Linked DNA regions of Saccharomyces cerevisiae S288C. The gene in region 2 interacts genetically with the main gene of each other region. Each region holds a gene or a part of one and is shown on either strand. Other genes may lie near its edges.

Region 1 (5,593 bases), on a different chromosome or scaffold from region 2:
TCCTGTATCAATTGAATTTGAAGAATTATGTAAAGGAGGTATAATAAATAGATAAAAAAATGTATAAATAAGTGGTCGAAATAATTAAATCATCATTGTCATTGAGATCATAAAATCGGTCTGCTAAAGAACCTTGAATTATTTAACCCACTCTCTTGGTTTGGTGGTAACTTCTAGTAATTTAGCTTCTCTGGAACCAGGAGCAGGGTGGTGGTTGTATAACCATGAAGCATGTTCAGGCAAACTCATCAAAATTGACTCAACTCTAGAGCCTGGGGTTCTCAAACCGAATTGGGTACCTCTATCGTAGATTAAGTTGAATTCAACGTATCTACCACGTCTAATGGCCTGCCATTGTTGTTCTTCCTTTGTATATGGCATATCTTTTCTTCTCTTGACGATAGTCAAGTAGGATGGCAAGAAAGCATCGAAACAGTCTTCAACCATCTTCAATATTTCTTGTGGGTCACGTTCATCATAATCGTCAAAGAATATACCACCAATACCACGTGTTTCCTTACGGTGGGTAATGTAGAAGTACTCATCACACCATTTCTTGAAACGTGGGTACAAAGCAGTGTCGTGCTTGTCCAAGGCATCCTTGTGCAGTTGGTGGAATAATTGACCGTCTTCTTCGTATAAGTAAGAAGGTGTCAAATCAGCACCACCACCAAACCACCAAGTTTGTGGGGTCCCATCTTGGTTCCAAGTTTCGAAGTAACGGTAGTTTAAGTGCGTGGTTGGAGCGTGTGGGTTAACGGGATGAATGACCATACTTAAACCACAAGCGAAGAACTTGACACCGTCGGTAACTGGCAAACCAGTCTTTGGATCTTCTGGTAGACGCAGATTCTTATGATCAGCTTTCATGGCTGAAACGGCCGCTGGGCTCAATTGACCATAAACAACGGAGACATTAACACCACCTTTTTCGAAAGTTGTACCGTCTTGGATAACCATAGAGGTACCACCACCACCATCGTTACCACGGGTCCAAGTATCAGCGTGGAACTTAACAGTATCGATGGATTCCAAACCTTGCGTGATTTCAGCTTGTTTGCGACGGATAAGAGCTTCCATTTGTTGTCTAATTGGAAGATTCCTTGGATCTTGAGGGGCAGGCATCTTTATGTGTATTTAATTGTGTTCGAAGAGTTCGGTTTGCTATGTTTGATTTGCGAAAAGAAAGCTTTTGATATGCTCAAAAAAAGAAAACCCGGAGAATAAAAGCTTAACAAAGAAAGACAATAGGTGGAAAAAAAAAGGAAAATCCGTGTCCTTATATAGCCTTTCGAAACGAGAACAATGGGCAAAGCAAGCTTTATCTTCGGATCGTCCGTCAGCGCTTTGGTTGCAGTCTTATGCTTTGTTCAAGCTGGAGCGTTATTGGTGGGAGAACCAGAAAAGGCGAAAGCGTAGCGTTCTTTGAAATTTGGCTTCTGTTCCTGCGACTCGTTTAAAAGTAGAAGGGCCCGCGGAGCCGCTGTGAAAGATTTCTTTTACTCTTTCAGCGCAGAAATCTCGCAGGAGCTCAGCAGAAAGTGCCTATGACGGTAATCCCAGGGGCTAATGGTGTGAAGGCACTTTCTAAACAATTGAAATTAAAATACCGTGCCTATAGTAACTTTTTTTTACGCTGTGAACCGTTCAACACACAGTAAAAACTCCGCAGGAAATGGTTTGAAGAATCTTAATCACGAATTAGGCGTATTGTTTTTCCCAACAGTGAACGAGAGGACAAACTCCAGAGGATTTGCGGGCTTGATGATAAAATGTATTGTTGAAAAGATCGCGAATGCAACAATTACGGTGGGGAGAAATATCAACAAAAGGGCAAGGCTATGCCTTCTGGAAAGTGGCAGACTTGCACTTTCCTCGAAAAGAAAAATGACCGCAAGATCCGGTTGTTCTCAACCTTCTACATTAAGACATACTTCTACGATTTTCGAATGCCGAAGCAACTATCGCTGAAATTTGTCATGTCAAAATTGCTACTGGGGGAGAAGAATATATATGGAAGTAATTATTATTTACGTTGCTGAAATGGCAGGTTAGACGCATGTTTTGCAAAATAAGTGGTTTTGAAAAGAATTGATACTAGGAATCGGTGCAATACCTTCTACCTTTCTTAATAGGTATTCTTGAATAATCTACCTCACTTTCTGTCCCAGATACGAGATGTCGAGCGCCTCGAAAATAGATATCGTTTATTACGTTAGATACGGAAAGGTCTACGTGTCATAATAAATTGCATCTGGATTGCGATTTTGGGTCATGCCTAACTGGGAAAATATTTACATCTCCATGTTCTCATTCTGCCTTTGCTTTCCTTCAAAACATGGTTTTCAATTCAACCTAGGGTCTACCGCGGAACCATATGTACGCCGTAAATGCGAGTGTTCTTGAAAGGTAGTAATGTGTTCCCTCTCAATATGTAAGTCCTTCAAGAGTATGCACTTGCAGTTGCACTGTTTCGGGTAATTATCCGTCATTAAGAAAAAGATGCTTCCACTTTCTCGTGTTTTTACGCACAATCGTGCCATTTAACCGGAAATAGACTCCATTGCATTGATTGCTCTCATAAAAATTATAGCCCGCGTTTGATACTTGTTTAAAATAGGTGTCGACAAAGTTAGTTTCTGTCTTCCATTTAGTTTTTACAATATGACACGTCAAATAAATCTTTTCGATTTAGTTAAAAGAGTTACCTGGCGATAGCCTTCTGGTAAAACACCTATTCATAAAACAATCTTAAAAAACCAAAAAATTACCAAACAACTATGTAGGACATATTTTTACAGTTCATAAAAACGCTTCGAGCTGCCGATATCGGTATCAAACACCAAAATATACATAGTGCTGGTTTAAGCCAGAATATCTTGGTGAAGCTGCGCCTATATGCCTTGTATTTAAAACAAGTCACGAAAAGCTATTGCCAAAGGAACATAAAAACTCGTATCTATGTTATATTATAAAAAAGATATAATATTTATATATTATTATTAATATTATTTTTTAGTTCCGAAAGGAGAAACTTATAATTTTTATATCATTATTTATTATTATTTTTAATTTCAACTCCTTTTATACCTATTACTGCATGTGGAGAAAAGATTAAACCAGGCGAGGCAATTTACACTTATTCATTGAGATAAGATGAAAGAGCCACGCCTCGTTACATTTAGGCTACATCATATAACAACTAGTCCCAGCCTCCCCCCTTCCCCACCTTGGAGTACTTTTCTCCAGAAATAGAAAGCTAAGAATCAAAATCGCACCATTACGTATGAGCTCATTTGCCGTCTTTTCCCCGACAATCCGGCACAAAATCTGGCTACCCGTCGTATGTATGGTAGACGATATTATGTACTCTAGTAATGCTATGTACGAATAGTTTCAGACGGGCACAGGGACCTAGAACGCCAAGCGCAAAAAAAAGCTGATAGGAATTCGACGTCACGAACCCTTGGAGTAAAAGAAAACTAAAATATACGAACTTCGCGGAAAATAAAAAACTTTTCCTTCAGTTGTTCCTCGTTCGAAACAGTAATCTACACGGACCGTTGCTTATTTTTAGCCAGATTCTAGTTAAATAAAAAAAAAAGAAATAAAATTAAAAAAAAATTAAACTGTGGCAGATAAGCCTTTCTAATCGAGGCAGTGTGTTTCTTTTGACTTCACCGTTTGTCTTCGCATAGTTCCCCTAAATATTCTAACTAGAAAAATCGCTAGTATTTTTCTACTTATAAGTTGATTTTCCGCATATTTGTCTTTGAAACGTTTGAGACAGGGAAAACTCTGTTTTCTAAAAGAGGAAAAAGCAAAATGAAGTATTGGCTTGGTTGCGGTCAACACCCTCAGGGAAAGCCAAGAAATGCTTTTTACTGTTTAGCAGTGAAAAGGCCGCACCGGAAAAGAAGGGAAAAATTCATTGGGTCTAGATTTTTCTTATCGGTAAAAGACTATGGCCTCTTGAGGACCCTTAAGCGTGAAACGAAACGCGTTGAGCGCGCAGAGGGGCTTCGCCGCCGGTCAGGGTGTTTGGGGTGTTTTTTCTTTTAATTATTCTCTTGGCAGTGTCATCTTTCTACAGTCTGGCTGCAGGCTCCTTTTCCGTTATTCATATATAAGGAAGAGAACTTTCCAAACCCAAATTAAAAAAAATTTGGTTCCCATCTCTTAACTAAAAGAAATTATATTACTCCACCTCGTTTACAGTTTTTTGATGCTATAAGGGAATTCTGCAGCTTTTGAAAGTAAAAATCATATCGTATACGATTCTGCAAAGTATTATTGTACTGTAATTCCTACCATTACGGCGCCTTTTTCTACCATTCACCTTTCTTGGATTGTTCCTCTCGACCAGCATATTACTACCCTTCGCAAACTTTCAGGCAATGTTTTACCCATATAACTATAGTAACCTCAATGTTTCTACTATGCCCGCACTGCCGGGAATCTCCGCATTTGATGGAATGCAAGATGAAGAAAACGTTGAAATAAGCCCGGAAAGAAAATATCAGACGCTACTACCAGTTCTAACTAATTCTCATGTGGTAGAGAATGAACTAAAACACAAATTAAATAAGACTGCTTTTGATTTCCGATACCAAACCAAATCAGAAAATGGCTCTGAAAAGTGGGAGCCAAAATACTTAATAACGCCTAATTTACAAACAAGAAGCGTCTCTTTTGACAATTCATCGGTACAATATAATTCAGATTCATCCGAAAAAAGCTCGCTATCACAACTAACTTGTAATTCATCAATAATACAACAGCCTGAGAACGGAATAGTTTCTAATGATGCATATAATAAGATGGCAAATAGTAGATACTCTCTGAAAACGCGGAAGCAAAGAACAGATCCAAGAAATACGTTATCAGATGAGGAAGACCTTGAACAAAGGCGCAAATACATTTGCAAAATTTGCGCAAGAGGATTCACTACATCGGGTCATTTAGCAAGGCATAATAGAATTCATACGGGCGAAAAAAATCATTGTTGTCCGTATAAGGGATGCACGCAGCGATTCAGTCGACATGATAATTGCTTGCAACACTATAGAACACATTTGAAAAAGGGACAATAATTGACGGTATACCCGTGTTTTTCTCATTAGCAGTACTACTATTCCGCACTTTACATCATTTTTTATAAACTCATGCATACATACATTGTACTTCAAAAGATTTTTTTTTTTTTTTGGCATCATAAATCACTTTCAGATCAGTTTCCTTTCAAACGCGCGGCATTAAGAAAACTTTTAATGTCAAAAAAACGGAAGCAAAAACCCCTCCCTTCCGCTTAAGATCATGTCTGGACATTTTAGTTGTAAGGCTGCGCCTCGGTAGCAAGTAGTGCTGCAACAAGGCTATTATGCCACCTAAACAGACCACTTTTGCTTAATACGAGACTGTGACTACCTCCTGACTTCCTGTCATAACAAAAAAACAGACGTCGCTGCATTAACATTTACAACCCCAAACCTTCTTCATTCATTGCTTTTCTTTTAGAAACTGTGGCTTTTTGACATTTGCAGTTTGCATAGTTACTTTTTGATCACTAACAACGATATATTATCGTTGAACA
Region 2 (8,418 bases):
AGGGCGAGGAAATTTTATCAAATCCTTCAACCTTCGAATTAGTCATGACTTCAAATGTATCCTGGAGATAGGTTCAAGTAGAGATTTAGGTTGGTGTCCCATAGTGAATAAAAAGACTCACAAAAAATGTGGCTCTCCCATTAACATATCTCTTCATAAGTGTTGCGATTACCATAGAGAAGTGCAATTTCGTGGAACAAGTGCTAAAAGAATTGAATTAAATGGTGGGTACGCCTTGGGCGCGCCTACGAAAGTGGACTCTCAACCAAGCCTATATAAGGCCAAAGGGGAAAACGGGTTTAATATAATCAAAGGTACTCGTAAGCGCCTGTCAGAAGAGGAGGAAAGACTTAAAAAGAGCTCTCACAATTTTACGAATAGTAATTCTGCCAAAGCATTTTTCGACGAGAAATTTCAGAATCCAGATATGCTGGCAAACTTAGACAATAAAAGAAGGAAAATAATAGAAACTAAGAAATCGACAGCACTGAGCCGCGAACTAGGCAAAATTATGAGAAGGAGGGAATCCAGCGGATTAGAAGATAAGAGCGTCGGAGAGCGACAGAAAATGAAACGAACCACAGAAAGTGCCCTCCAGACAGGGCTTATCCAACGCCTAGGATTCGATCCCACTCATGGAAAAATTTCCCAAGTACTCAAGTCTTCTGTATCAGGGAGCGAACCTAAGAACAACTTACTCGGTAAAAAAAAAACTGTTATAAACGATCTCTTGCATTACAAGAAGGAAAAAGTCATTCTCGCACCTTCAAAGAACGAATGGTTCAAGAAAAGAAGCCATCGCGAAGAAGTTTGGCAAAAACATTTCGGATCCAAGGAAACTAAAGAAACTTCTGACGGTAGTGCCAGCGATCTTGAGATAATATAAATAAGTATTGGTGTGCTTTTCAGGGCCCCAAAATGGTATTACTTTTGATGGACAATGGCGCGGGTAATGATTGAAAAATTATGATGAAAAATTGAGTGATTTTGGTTGCAATATAGGGAATCAATCCTTAAAGTGAGAAAGAACAGAAGAGAACATCTTGTGAGACACAAAACGCTCCGAAAACATCTCCCTCTTGGGCGCATCCTTCATTCTGTACTCTTTACTTCACTTTACAGTCGTTTTTGGCCGATCTTTGGCAGCATCTAACGTTATTTTTAGGTTCAATACATAACAACAAGACCACGGATATCGCATAATATGGTTGACCTAATGGTGCCGGCGAATGATGACCCTAGTAATGAAACTGATTATTCTAGATCCAACAACAACCACACTCATATTGTGAGCGATATGCGCCCGACCTCCGCCGCATTTCTTCATCAAAAGCGACATAGTTCTTCGTCGCACAATGATACACCAGAGTCGTCGTTCGCTAAAAGAAGGGTGCCTGGAATTGTAGATCCCGTAGGGAAAGGATTTATAGATGGAATAACTAATAGCCAGATCTCTGCACAAAACACACCCTCCAAAACTGATGATGCATCTAGAAGACCGAGCATCTCTCGCAAAGTTATGGAATCGACACCACAAGTTAAGACCAGTTCTATTCCAACAATGGATGTTCCTAAATCTCCATATTATGTGAATAGAACTATGCTTGCTCGAAATATGAAGGTTGTTTCTAGAGACACTTATGAAGATAACGCAAATCCACAAATGAGAGCTGACGAGCCATTAGTCGCTTCAAATGGTATTTATAGCAATTCGCAACCCCAAAGCCAAGTAACTTTATCCGATATTAGAAGAGCTCCTGTAGTTGCTGCTTCACCCCCGCCGATGATAAGGCAACTTCCTTCGGCGCAGCCAAATCAGACGTTTATTAAAAAACTGCAGGAAATTTATAAAATCATAGTGGTGCAGGAAACCGAGTTACAACAAAGATGCCTTTATTTAACCACCTCTCAAACCACAGAACTAAAAAGTTTGTGGGCAATATACAGACTGAACACAGAACTGATCAAAAATTACATCAATTTCATCATCACTGCATTATTAACTACACAACCTATAAACGACTTGATTATGGGCCAAGAAATTTTGGATATTTACAGAATAGAAAAAAGATTGTGGGTTTATGGTATAATAACCTTCTTGGATGTACTAAAGAACTTTTCGAACTTTATGGACCCAGAGGTATGTTGTCAGTTTATTATATACGCTTTCATCTCTGTCTCAAATATGCTTGAGGATATACCGTTGAAATATTCTATTTTGTGGAGACAAAGATTGGGTGATTTGTCTAGAATGGCAATATCGCTGTACCCATCAGGATTCATAGATTGGAGGCTAAGCGCCGAATATTGGTATACCGAATCAATGAAATACATATATGGGTGCGGAAAACTATATTATCATATTGCCACAGTTCAACAGAACAGTTTAGAAGCGTTCGTAAACTTGGGAAAAAGTGTTTTTTGTCAGGATCCCTTCACTCCGTCTCAGCAAACGTTACAGTTATTGATTGAAAATATCTATCAATCTGCATTCATAGATAGAAGTTCTGGTAGTGCGAACAATAATGAAATTGCCCATAGAAATTCTCAATTAATTGATTATTTAAAGCATACTGAAGTAATGCTATTACCTAGTTTCCTGGAGAATATGGATTTACAGCATGTTGTGCTTATGTACTTCAAAGACAAGTTTGGTAAAGATTTTAACGGAAATGACGTTTTCGATACAAAAGACATGTTTTGCCAAAATCCAGAATCATTGCGTTATTATTTTAGGCATGCCCCTGCATTTGCTGAATCTCAGCTTTTACAGCTAATCGGATTTGGCAATCCTAAAAACCCATTTGCATTATTGTTTCAGTTGCCTAAGTATTTGAAATTAAAGAAGGATAAAAGAGAAAAAAAGAGATCCGAAGCAACAGAAACATCTTCCTATACAGATCCATTCGATGTTCAAATAAGTTCAGAAAGCTACTTCCAGAATATCGATGCTTTAAATTCAAGTTTCAATGATATCCCAACCAATCTCAATATTTGGCTGGATTCTTTGAATCATATCAACATGACGTCAATACAATGCAGTATACATGTATTAACAAAATTTCTTCATGCACCATTAGTGGTTGCCTTACCGCACTTTTTGACGTGGTTACATTTTATAGTTGCTATTTTGAAAAAATTAGAAATGGTAAATTCAAAGCAAGTAGTAGCATTCTGGATACATTTTTTAAGAAGGACAATGCCTTGGAATTCAATAGTGACCTTAGGTAATGTATTAGTTTGTTACATGCTGGATAATTTACACCCTTTTTTGAAAAAAGAATTGGAAAAGTTTTATTCATTGGAACTGGATGATTTGATCGAATATTATAACGAAAATGAAAATCTTCCGGAGATTTGGAAATGTTGGGGAACATTGTGGTTTGACGCTATCAAGAAGTGCGATGTAATGGAAATTCCTGGCGTTCAAGACCATCTTTTTTTCGATTCTCCCCTTGATGGTATAGTCTTTGATGAAAAAGATGAAGTTGGTGAAAAATTCTGGATGCGCAGTGTGAGAGCAGTTTTACTTTTGAAAGGTATTGCCAAGAAATTTCCCGATTTGGGGTTGAAAGTAAGCTTTCAAGCTTCTGTGTTTTGTCGTCGAAATGACATACCTCCAGATTATTTCCTAAAGAATTTGACCTTTAAGCTAGATGCATATGACGAAGATAATTATAACGACAACAACGAATTAGATGATCTATATGACACAATTGAAATAAATGAAGAAATCGAGGCTGTTAACATGGACCCACAAGCCACACCGAATTTGAGCGTCGTTTCTGGTGAAAGTATTTTCGAATATACTGGTTATACGAGATTGGCACCAGATTATCATTGTTTTGATAAAAACGGCGGGTTCAACAGTGCATTTATCTACAGCCAATGGTCCAATGTTGGTAATGGTGTAACACTGGATGTAAGCGGCGAATCTATATACGATGTTGCCAACAACAACTTGAGCCTGCATTGGGAGAAAATATTCTTCGATAAAATTGCCGCCGCATCTAAAGGCAGTGACGAAAACTACAATTGTACGCTTTATTTTGTCATCGATGCTACCTCATGGTTAAGACACTTTGCACATATTTTCAAACTAGCCAAAAACAATACTCTTAAATTTGCGATTTGTCTGACCACATTTCAAGAACTACGTTATCTAAGAGGATCGAAAGACGATACTGTCGTCGAAGCAGCAACAAGGTCGGTAATTACTATTCGCCAGTTGTACGATGAAAAGAAAATTATTCCTATGAGATTCACGGGGAATATTGCAACACATGTTGAAGAAAATCTGGAGTTCGAAGAGCAAATTACTTGGAAGACGCACGTCGATGAATTTGTTATTGATGCTATCGCCAAACTGAACCAAAGGTTTCAAGCTGAAAGATTGACTGATGAAAACAAGAACAAAGGCAAGGAGTTTGCAGTGCTGGTAACGGATGATGATAATATGAACCAAAAAGCGAAGGACAGAATGATAAAAACGTGCAATACAAAGTATTTATTTTCGTTAGGTAGCAAGCTTGGTATTAATAGTGGATTATGTACCAACTAATATGTATATATACATATATATGATCACATATATATTTCTGTGCATTTTTTTTTTTTTTTTGAACACTCCATTCTACAATTACTTTTCATATAAATTTCCAATGCAGGTACCATTTTATATTGTTACACAAGGTTAGAAAAGATCTTGAATCGATCACTAACGAGGCACTAGGGTCATTAACCTTGTTCTGTAGCCATTCTGCGTTAATTTTTGGCGCTCTGCTATGCAATATTATTGTTTGGTCCTTCGGAAGTTTGATGAGTAACTCGTTTGAGGACAGTATGGTTGCTTGAGAGAAATCGCGAATAATTGTGTCAAACTTTGGTTTATGCGTCTGGATTATGGCATCCAGGTCCTTCACGGAGCTATGCAGTTGAGAAACAAGTTTAGAGTCAGTGTTGTAGAATGTTTGCGGCTGCTTTTCCTGTTTCTTTAGAGAACTATTACTTGCGGAGCTCGTCCACTGCGACTCCTGAACCAACTGTCGCAGGGGAGGCGTAGAGTTTTGTGATCGGATATTCTGGCGCTGCTGCTGCTGCTGCTGCTGCTTATGATGTTCTTGTTTCAGAACTAGCAATGAAATGGGCATATGATTACCGTCATGTTGCACGTTCGGTTGCACACTTGATTTCGATAGTATTTCTGAGAAACTGTTGGTGCTTTGTTGTTTTAAAGGGTGATGAGGTCGCCTGGTTGGAGACCAGGATATAGAGCTTAGGGACTGCCCCGGGGGGTGTTGTTGTTGCTGCTTCTGATCCTGATATATTACCAGGCCCCTTCTCTTGTGACTCATTTGCTTACACTGTGGCGACTTTTTCCACTTCTTTGTTTATTTGTATTACCGCTTCCTTTTCCTTTTTTCATCTGATTATATGCTTATATATTGTAGACGCAAGTAAAAAAGAACGAAAATAGAAGTCATAATGCTTGTCATACACATTTATATGTTTAATTAATATTATCTACGTAGTCTATCTCTTGAAAAAGAAGTCTGGTTCCGGTGCGACTGGTTTTGATGGCTTAGTAAATAGTTGATATTGTTACCTGACGGCGGAACGCCTGGGGGAGGCATTGACGTGGACGTTGGGAATCGTGTTGAAGTCTGTTCTCGACCGGGCGATCCTGCGTTAGCCTGTTCTATACTCTCTTCCTCCTTTTCTTCAAAGACTGGAAGATCAGTGCCGTTTTGAATGTTGACCCAGGGAAAGAAGCCTGTGCCGAACCAGAAATGTTGCACCACGGGGAACTTCTTCAGAACCTCTACAGAATACATTTTTAGAAGCCCCTTACACACTTTGGACCAGCGTGGAACGGTGACGGCAATATCGTATAGGATGGGGGAATGCTCTTCAAAGGGCCCCATTTTCACCTCATTAATAAAGTTTATGCCTTGGCAGTAGAAGTTGGTGTCCTTATACTCGCGCACCAGAGACTTATCCAGTATTTCTCTTGGTTGCAAGGGTGCTTGCGCATCAAGCAGCTGCCATTGAGACGAGCCCAAGATGTACACCAAGTGGAAATGGTCATCAAGCCCCCACACGCCATGTGACCCAGCGGGCTCCAGCGTATACGTCAGGATCAGCCTCCTCATGATCGTGTAGTACTTGTTGAACAGCAGAAAAACGTCTGCCCCCCTCATGTGCGGAAACATCCCCAGCATGTCCAGTGCTGCGACCGTGGCCATGAACGAAAGTTCGTGGCCCGTGCCGTAGTCCAATCTTGTCGACGAACCAAAGCTGTTGCCCAGGTAATACTGCAATTCAGGCACCACCTCATGGTATTCCGAGGGAAGCATTTCCTGCAGCCACTGAGGCAAACGTTCATCCAGCTTGTGATGCCACTCGCGGCATGCTAGGTTACCATACCTTCTAGGACCTGGAAGAGGCGGTGTCTCGTCGATCAGGTGTGCCAGCTTGTCCAACACTCCCATCAGCCCGTTAACCATGGCGATCGACGACGCAGTAGCGTGCGGGTCGGGGTCAGAACAGTGCGATATCAACGTAGTGTACTTGTGAAGATGATACTTGATTCTGTGAATGGCTAGTGACGATTGGAAGTCCAGCGTTGTCTGCGTATCGAAGATACGCTTCACCGGCGTAGAGAAGGTGGCGTGCGGCCAATCTACACGATCCAGAGACATTTCTTTGCTCGTTTAATGCTTGTTCATATGTGCGTTCTTTTGCACTTTGCACTTTCTTCCTATTTTATCTTTTTAAGAAAGCTTTAAAGGTCCGGAAAAAAGGCTTGATCAAACACAAGAGACTATGGAAAGGGTGAGTACCAAAAGAACCAACAAGAGAAACAACCAAGTACGCAATGCAGAAGAGCATATTGCTGACTAAACCTGACGGAACACAATCGAATCTACACAGCATCAAAACGGAAACGCCCACCACGGTGGAGTTCGACTCGGAGCAGATGGAAAGGGGCCACAGGGAAAGAGGTCGTAGCAAGAAGAAAAGAGGCGAACGAGACTCAAACGTGAGCAGTCTGTCGCGGTCGAGAAGCAGGGCCAGTAGCCGCAGCAGAGTAAGGGAGGAAGAGTTCCTCAAGTGGACCGTGTTGAGGCAGGACCCCTCGATGCGGTTGAGGGTCGTGGATGTGGATTCTGAAGAGGAAGGTGAGGGCAACGACGAAGATGACGACGACGGCGACGGCGACGATATGGACGAGGAAGAGTCCGATGAAGAGCAAGTGAGCGATATAGAGAACGATTTAGAGATTGACGAGGAGTTCCACTACGATCTGGGCATGAAAGTGTTACCCAACTTTTGTACCAGCATAAACGAAGTGCTAGACTCCAGCAAGCCCTGGATAGCCAAGTACGAGATCAGCATCCGTGGCCACGAAAACGAAGACGTGTCTCTGGAGCAACTCGACGGAGGCTACGTCAGAGCCATGCAACTACTCACCAAGGGTGCCGGCGCAGAGGCCGGGAACCAAAGGTCCTTCATCCTCTACACGGACCTGAGCAGCGAGTCCACCTACGCCCTGACCTATCTCATGGGCGCAGCTGTCAACCAGGGAGACACCGTCTACATTGTCCACTGGGAGCCCTCGAAGCCCACGGACGACTCCCAGATGTTCGCCAACGTTGCCAGAATCAGAAAGCACGTCATGCACCTGTTTGACTGCGTCGCGGGCGTGCTCGACGACCTCGACGTCGTCGTCCTCTCCTTGACCCATCCGTACCCAAAACACCTCCTCAACGAGATGATCCACGGCCTCAAGCCAGTCGCCCTGTGCTGCTCCCTCTCGGTCATCCTGTCCACTCTGCAGAACTTCGTCTGCTCTGTGCCCATCCTCGCGGTTAGAAAGAAGCTGAAACGTGCCAAGCGCAAGGGCATCAGCGAGTGACCAATAATCACTGCACTAATTCCTTTTTAGCAACACATACTTATATACAGCAACAGACCTTATGTCTTTTCTCTGCTCCGATACGTTATCCACCCAACTTTATTTCAGTTTTGGCAGGGGAAATTTCACAACCCCGCACGCTAAAAATCGTATTTAAACTTAAAAGAGAACAGCCACAAATAGGGAACTTTGGTCTAAAGCAAGGACTCTCCCTCCCTTATCTTGACCGTGCTATTGCCATCACTGCTACAAGACTAAATACGTACTAATATATGTTTTCGGTAACGAGAAGAAGAGCTGCCGGTGCAGCTGCTGCCATGGCCACAGCCACGGGGACGCTGTACTGGATGACTAGCCAAGGTGATAGGCCGTTAGTGCACAATGACCCGAGCTACATGGTGCAATTCCCCACCGCCGCTCCACCGCAGGTCTCTAGACGAGACCTGCTGGACCGTCTGGCCAAGACGCATCAATTCGACGTGTTGATCATCGGTGGCGGG
Region 3 (6,669 bases), on a different chromosome or scaffold from region 2:
ATCTGTCATGGAACATAACTTCGGGGACGTTGTCAAGAACAGTCCATGGGTCGTTGATTCTGTTAAAAACTCGGAATTTTATGTTGAAGAAGATAAGGATTCCAAAGAAGTGTGTAGATTCCAAGCTATGAGAGTAGGTTATTTCACTCTGGATAAAGAGAGTACGACTTCTAAGGTTATTTTGAATAGAATAGTTAGCTTGAAGGACGCAACTTCCAAGTGAATGATTTAATGTGCATATATGTATATATTTATATATATATCCTATTGGTTGAAAATGATGTAATAGTGTAAATTTTTTAATTATATTAGATAATAAAGACCAACTCATAATATTGTTACGTATTAATGATATATAACTGGGGATGTATAATTATAATGAAAACAAAAATGGAATATAAACCATACTCCGATGATAGAAACATTATATCGCCTTTTCTTTTCGATGTAGTATTTCTTTTTACAAAAAAATCATTTTTGAAGGAAAATATAACGTTAATCTACATGGATTCAAACTCTGTATCGATATATCTACCATTCCTTAGCAACGTCTTGCATAACATGGGCATTATTTCCACTTGCAAGGGTTCCAAAGGAAACTTTTCACCATCCACTGAAAATAAACCTGACTCCACTTTTGGTATAATCTTATAAGCCAATATTTTTGAGTGAATAACTTCTGGCTCTAATACATGAGAACCTTTATCCAAGGATAATAAAATTGGTGTCATTCTTGTCACTGGGATTCTTGCATCCGTTATGACTAAATCAATGGTACCATCCGCTGGTAAAGCAGCGGGAAAAAATTTGGTGTCCTTAGCAATATACGGCATTTTCCCTGTGTAAAAGATTGTTAAGTTATCAGTTAGCTCTGAATCCATTTTCTCCCAGTCTCTAGGTACTGGTTCCGTCATCGGATACTTTAATTTAAAGTTGTCCTCGTTGAGAAAATTCGGTGAAAGTTCATCTTTTGTACTGTTGTTGATATTGTTTTTAGATAGTAAATCCGGCGAAGAGTTTGGGCTAGGATTTGGTTCGAAGGTTAAACATCCTTTGTTTTTATCTTTATTTTCTAAGAAATGAACTTTTAATTCCTTTTTAGATTTGGCAGCATATTTGACGAAAACTTCGCAGGGATATTTCTTACCTTGGATAATGTTGAATGCTACACCCAAATTAAACCTAACGGGACCCATCCATCTGATGAATTCAGTGTTAATATCAGATTCTGCAATAACGCCGTACGTCTGACTCAAAAAGGATAATCTTGGCCATTCGTTCATATAAGAAGGTTGGGAACAACACATTAAGTCTATTCTTGTTTCAATGGATTTGACAAGGCACAGAGCGGCGTACGATGGGTTATTTGTCCAATGACATGAAATGCTCATAGCATTTCCTGAACCGCAAGGTAGCTGAGTTACGGCTAGTTTATTGAACGCATCCACTCTGTCGGGTCTTCTATAAAGCCCATTAATTACTTCGTATGGAATACCATCACCCGAGGCACATGCAATGGTATCGTATTTGCTGATATCTAAATCTTTGGCAATATCGATGGCGTGACGGGCATATTTTGTGTATGCAATTTCTATTTTGCAGCCACTTTCCACTAGTATTGGCCTTGCTTTTGTCAGGAATAAATTTTTAGCAGTACCTTTACCACCGTGGGGATTAATAATGACTAATATCGATCTGTTTCTCTTGGAATTTTCATAACTTTTTTCCAGGATTTCTTCCACAGTACCAGAAGAAATGTTCTCCTCTCCGGTATTTGCTCTCGATTTCCTAGAAACGTGATCTATTAACAAGGTTAATTTTTGTGGTATAACATCATGGCCCTTGGGTACAGCAAAAGTTAACTCAATTAACTGTTGATTATCTTTTATCCCTAAAGATGGTGAGTTATCCTGTGAATCATCGGGAGACACCTTCACAGTGTTCGTTTTTGTATCCCACTTGTCTTTTTTGGGAAATGACTGTGATTCGCTTACAGGAGCCTTATCATTGCTCAAACTATGATTCTCAACGTCGTCATTTTCAGACGAAGAACTCAGATTTTCCGTTTGAAAAGGATTCGAAGAAATTTTGCCATTATTGAAGCCTTTCTGACCGACATTCACATATTTTGCGTTCAAAATTCTGTTGAACGGAATGGTAGTATTAAGAGGCAACAGTTCCAGGGAATCATCCTCATCAAAAGAACCTCCATCAGAGCTCAAAGTTCCATCATCCAGACAGGACAAGCAGCTCAACAAGGATAAAGAATCTCCGCTTCTGAGTTGACCATGCTTATTGAACATATGGTGTGATTGCGATTTGATCAATACACCTTCATCGGTCAAGATAGCCCTAAGTTTTTTCTGCACCACCATTATCTATAGTAGATTCTTCGCGTACTTTTCGCTGCTAGACTTTTGTGTTCTTGATAACCTCCAGGATCAGTACGTTAGACAAGGGAAAGTATCAGATGGGTTAAACACGAATTTTCACCTTCTTGTATGCCTTTCTTCCGTTAAATCATCTTTTTGCTTCAAGACCCTTGCAGCACGTTTTTTTCAGGCTCGGCAGTAGGGTGACACCCATGGTTTACAAGGCGATAAAATGACAAATGCCAGGTGGTATTGTAATAATAACGGCAAGAGTATAGAAAGTCAGAGGGGAAAGCACATTGAATGGTCCTGGTAAAGGGAGTTGTTAATGAGTAAGCGGGGTAGTTTACAGGATAGAGCTTCCCCATCGGAGGAAACTGTAAAGAAGGCGCAGAAGAGACGGAAACCAATAAAGTCATGCGCTTTTTGTAGGAAAAGGAAATTACGTTGCGACCAGCAGAAGCCAATGTGCTCAACTTGTAAGACGAGGGGTCGTTCTGGTTGCCTGTATACAGAGAAATTCACCCACAAAATAGAAACAAAAGAGTTATTTGGCAGTACTCCGAACATTGAACTGTTGAAAAGGATTGAGGATTTAGAGAAAAGACTAGATGACAAAGAGTTGACGGAGAAGGATGTAGCGCTTAGTACGAGCCCATTTAGGAACCCTTACGCTAATTTTTACTATTTACAATGTAAAGGCTCGGGAAGAAGAATAGTATATGGTCCTACATCTTTGAGAACGCATCTCTCAAACGATGATAATCGGTTTGTAAACACGTATAATCAGCTCTGGTCCAAAGTGAAAATCGAGAGAAACAGATGGAAGGCTAGGCATAAATGGACAATGAAGCCAGAAACTCAACTCCTAGAGGGACCGCCGTTAGAAAAGACAGGCTCTGACATCTTGCAACAGGTTTGTAACGTTTTGCCATCTTTTGAACAATCGTCAAAGATTATAACAGACTTTTTCAATACTGAACTGGAAACTAATGAAGTTAGTGAAGTATTAGATAAAACCAAAATAATAAACGATTTCACTTCCTCGTTTCTTCCAAGTGACGAACTGTTACCCAACGGTGAAAGGCGGATTGAAAAGTTATTACCATCGACAAAGAAAAACTATTATAAGATTGGAGTTATTTTGATGATACTGTGTATTCGCCATTTCTACAAAAATACTCCGGAAGAGATAGAGAAATTTCTCATCATGCTGACGGGACTGTCAACAGCTAAAGTATATTTCATTGAACGCGCTCAATTTCTCTTATTGAAATACTATCATCGAGAACTAATTTGGGCGTGTGGAGACGATTCGCATATGATTAGTCTAGTTGACTTATTATGCAGCACGGCAATTATGCTGGGTTTACACTTGAATATAAGAGAAATATACAAAAATCAAGAAAATATTGTGGGGAGTATGGAAAGTTTGGAAAATTTGTGGGTTTGGATTATATTATCAGATTTCAATGTTTCTTTAAATATTGGGAGATGTTTGGCGATTAACTCATCCTATTTTCAAGTCGATGAATGCGAGAATGGTGAGAGGTTGCCTAAAAATACAAACAATTATTCATCGACGGTTTTTTTCGATCAGTCAAATTCCTGCATGGGCAAGCTTAAAAGGTTTTTAAGATTAGCTCGACCAATGCTAGATCAAATTTATGATAGAAGCGCATTTCCAGACTTAGCCGAAAATTGTAAAAAACTAAGAAACTTTGTAGAGACTGAATTCCACCCAATATCATATTACACTGACAGTGAGTTAATATCTAAAGTTCCTTTGTGCGAGATTAAAGTGCTTGCGCAGGTTTTGAATTTGTTGTTGACGTTTTATTCCTTGAGGTATTTGATTTACAAGGAAAAAAGCGTTGTTTTAGAGAACAACATCCTGCAAACCATTTTGGTCTCTTTTTCCCTTGTCATCAATACGACCATACTGTGTTTTAACCTAGATGAGAAGCATTTTCCTGAGTTTTTTGATCATAATTGCGTTCATTTACCGCCATTTATGGCCTTGTCTTTAGTATACACAAATTTCCTTTTTCCTAGGGCCTCTACTGGCTTTTGTGCGTTTTTGTATCATAAGTTAACTCTTTTTGAGAAGGGCTATTATCTATCATCCAACATCAAAGATCAAGAAGTCACAGATTGGGATTTGTCAACCTTGAATATCCCGTTGGATAAAGCTATGAACTTACTTACTGCTTTCAAAATACATTCAGATATATTTGCTAAATGGTCTAATGATAACAACAAGCAGTTAAGAATTATTATGGCTCGCTCTTATACATTTGTTATCAACATCGCCCTGGAAAGCATATATAGAGCTGTTTTGGAAAAAGTAATCAAATATAGAACCGAGGTCGAAAACACATGGTTACAACAACTCCAAGACGAATTGAATGGGTCCTATTCGCTCACTGACAATGTAAATACTCCAATCGATCCCAGTTTAAGTGACCTGGGCGTCACAAGCGCCAGTCCATTGGCGGGAAATTCTCCAGGATTACCCCCGGAGGAAGTGCGAAATAACAGCGAAAACGCTTCGCATAACAATGAAACTGGGCCAATTGAGACTGAACTGGCACAGACAATATCCAACGAATTTTGGACGGCGTACAACCTTGGCTGGGAGGAACTAATGAGTCAGCCAGATTATAAATATTTATTTGATACGCAGTAGAGGAGAAGTTCTTTTACAAAAAAACATGCTTGCGACAGCAGCTAGATAGAAAACTTGCATATTGTAATGGAAGACAGTCGAGAGCAAGCCATTGGCTTGGACTTGCGCTTGGACCTATCTTTCGGACCAACTATTTAATGATTAGTAAGACAAAAATGACATTTAAGCATCTATAAAATAAGAAAAATAAAAAAATGAAGGGAAAAAGCTAAACACTAACTTCTTGACCAAACAAACAAGGAAAAGCCAGTAATTGCGTGAACAAAAGGCACCTGCAATTGTTCTGATGGATGTACTTTGTCCAACCTATTCTGCAAGAAAAAGAAATCAACTCCAAAGAAGTATGGAGCTTACTGGCACTCTAGCCTCCAAAAGCTGTTAAAGTGTTCATTCGATTGTCAAAAATCTTCCCCATAATAATCACCCACCTCAACAAAATACTTCCACTTAATTATTGATCGATTAGAGCTAGCGTCAGTGATTATATGCTAGTCCGAAAGGACAGCCCCATGACAGCGGCCGCGCAGACGCCTAGGGGGGAAATAAGGGGTGACAATACCAATGAGTATAAAGGCAGAAAGAAGAGAAACAGAAGCACGGGGGTTTCGTTTGGTCTTCAAATATATGTTAGGTCGGTACCTTTTCATTGCAAAATTGAAAAGATTTGAGCGTGTAAAAGTAAAAAAATACATGATGGGTTCCCAAGATTTAGCTAGTTTAATTGGGAGGTTTAAATACGTCAGGGTGTTAGATTCGAACCCTCATACAAAGGTAATCTCACTACTAGGCAGCATAGATGGGAAGGATGCCGTGTTAACTGCTGAAAAGACGCATTTCATATTTGATGAAACGGTACGTAGACCCTCTCAAAGTGGCCGTAGCACTCCGATTTTCTTTCATCGTGAAATAGACGAGTACTCCTTTTTAAACGGTATTACTGATCTGAAGGAATTAACTTCGAATGACATCTACTACTGGGGGTTGTCTGTTTTGAAGCAGCATATTTTGCATAACCCAACTGCGAAGGTTAACTTAATTTGGCCCGCCTCGCAGTTCCACATCAAGGGATACGACCAGCAGGATTTACATGTCGTCAGAGAAACTCCTGATATGTATAGAAACATAGTTGTGCCCTTTATCCAAGAGATGTGTACCAGCGAAAGAATGAAATGGGTAAACAACATTCTTTACGAGGGCGCCGAGGATGATAGAGTTGTTTATAAGGAATACAGTAGCAGGAATAAAGAGGATGGATTCGTCATCTTGCCCGATATGAAGTGGGACGGAATCAACATTGATTCGTTATACCTGGTCGCGATCGTGTACAGGGACGACATCAAATCTTTGAGAGATTTGAACCCAAACCATAGAGATTGGTTAATTAGACTCAATAAGAAGATTAAGACCATCATCCCCCAGCACTATGACTATAATGTAAACCCGGACGAGCTAAGAGTTTTCATTCATTATCAACCTTCATATTACCATTTTCATGTCCATATAGTGAATATAAGGCATCCAGGAGTAGGCGAGGAGAGAGGCTCCGGAATGACAATACTGTTGGAAGATGTTATAGAAGCGTTGGGTTTCTTAGGTCCTGAAGGTTAT

The links.
Region 1: of IMP21 (region 2) and NRG1, a mutation in one rescues a mutant of the other (synthetic rescue), as found in Saccharomyces cerevisiae (one study listed by BioGRID).
Region 3: mutations in IMP21 (region 2) and LCB4 together harm fitness more than expected from each alone (negative genetic interaction), as found in Saccharomyces cerevisiae (2 studies listed by BioGRID).

What each region holds. Positions count from the first base shown.
Region 1 is NC_001136.10:542,174-547,766, reverse strand, and holds NRG1 (transcriptional regulator NRG1), read left to right. Parts: upstream 1-4,397; coding exon 4,398-5,093; downstream 5,094-5,593. Other genes in the region: HEM13 (coproporphyrinogen oxidase), read right to left, coding at 139-1,125. UniProt on the Saccharomyces cerevisiae protein: Transcriptional repressor involved in regulation of glucose repression. Binds to UAS-1 in the STA1 promoter.
Region 2 is NC_001141.2:53,481-61,898, reverse strand, and holds IMP21 (Imp21p), read left to right. Parts: upstream 1-6,877; coding exon 6,878-7,918; downstream 7,919-8,418. Other genes in the region: MCM10 (Mcm10p), read left to right, coding at 1-886; ESL1 (Esl1p), read left to right, coding at 1,205-4,561; VPR1 (Vpr1p), read right to left, coding at 4,647-5,354; peptidylprolyl isomerase RRD1, read right to left, coding at 5,520-6,701; GUT2 (glycerol-3-phosphate dehydrogenase), read left to right, coding at 8,191-8,418. UniProt on the Saccharomyces cerevisiae protein: Controls the nucleo-mitochondrial dependence of galactose, maltose and raffinose utilization. Becomes essential in the absence of functioning mitochondria.
Region 3 is NC_001147.6:651,510-658,178, forward strand, and holds LCB4 (sphinganine kinase LCB4), read right to left. Parts: upstream 2,376-6,669; coding exon 501-2,375; downstream 1-500. Other genes in the region: GLN4 (glutamine--tRNA ligase), read left to right, coding at 1-223; YRM1 (Yrm1p), read left to right, coding at 2,701-5,061; DCS2 (5'-(N(7)-methyl 5'-triphosphoguanosine)-(mRNA) diphosphatase), read left to right, coding at 5,755-6,669.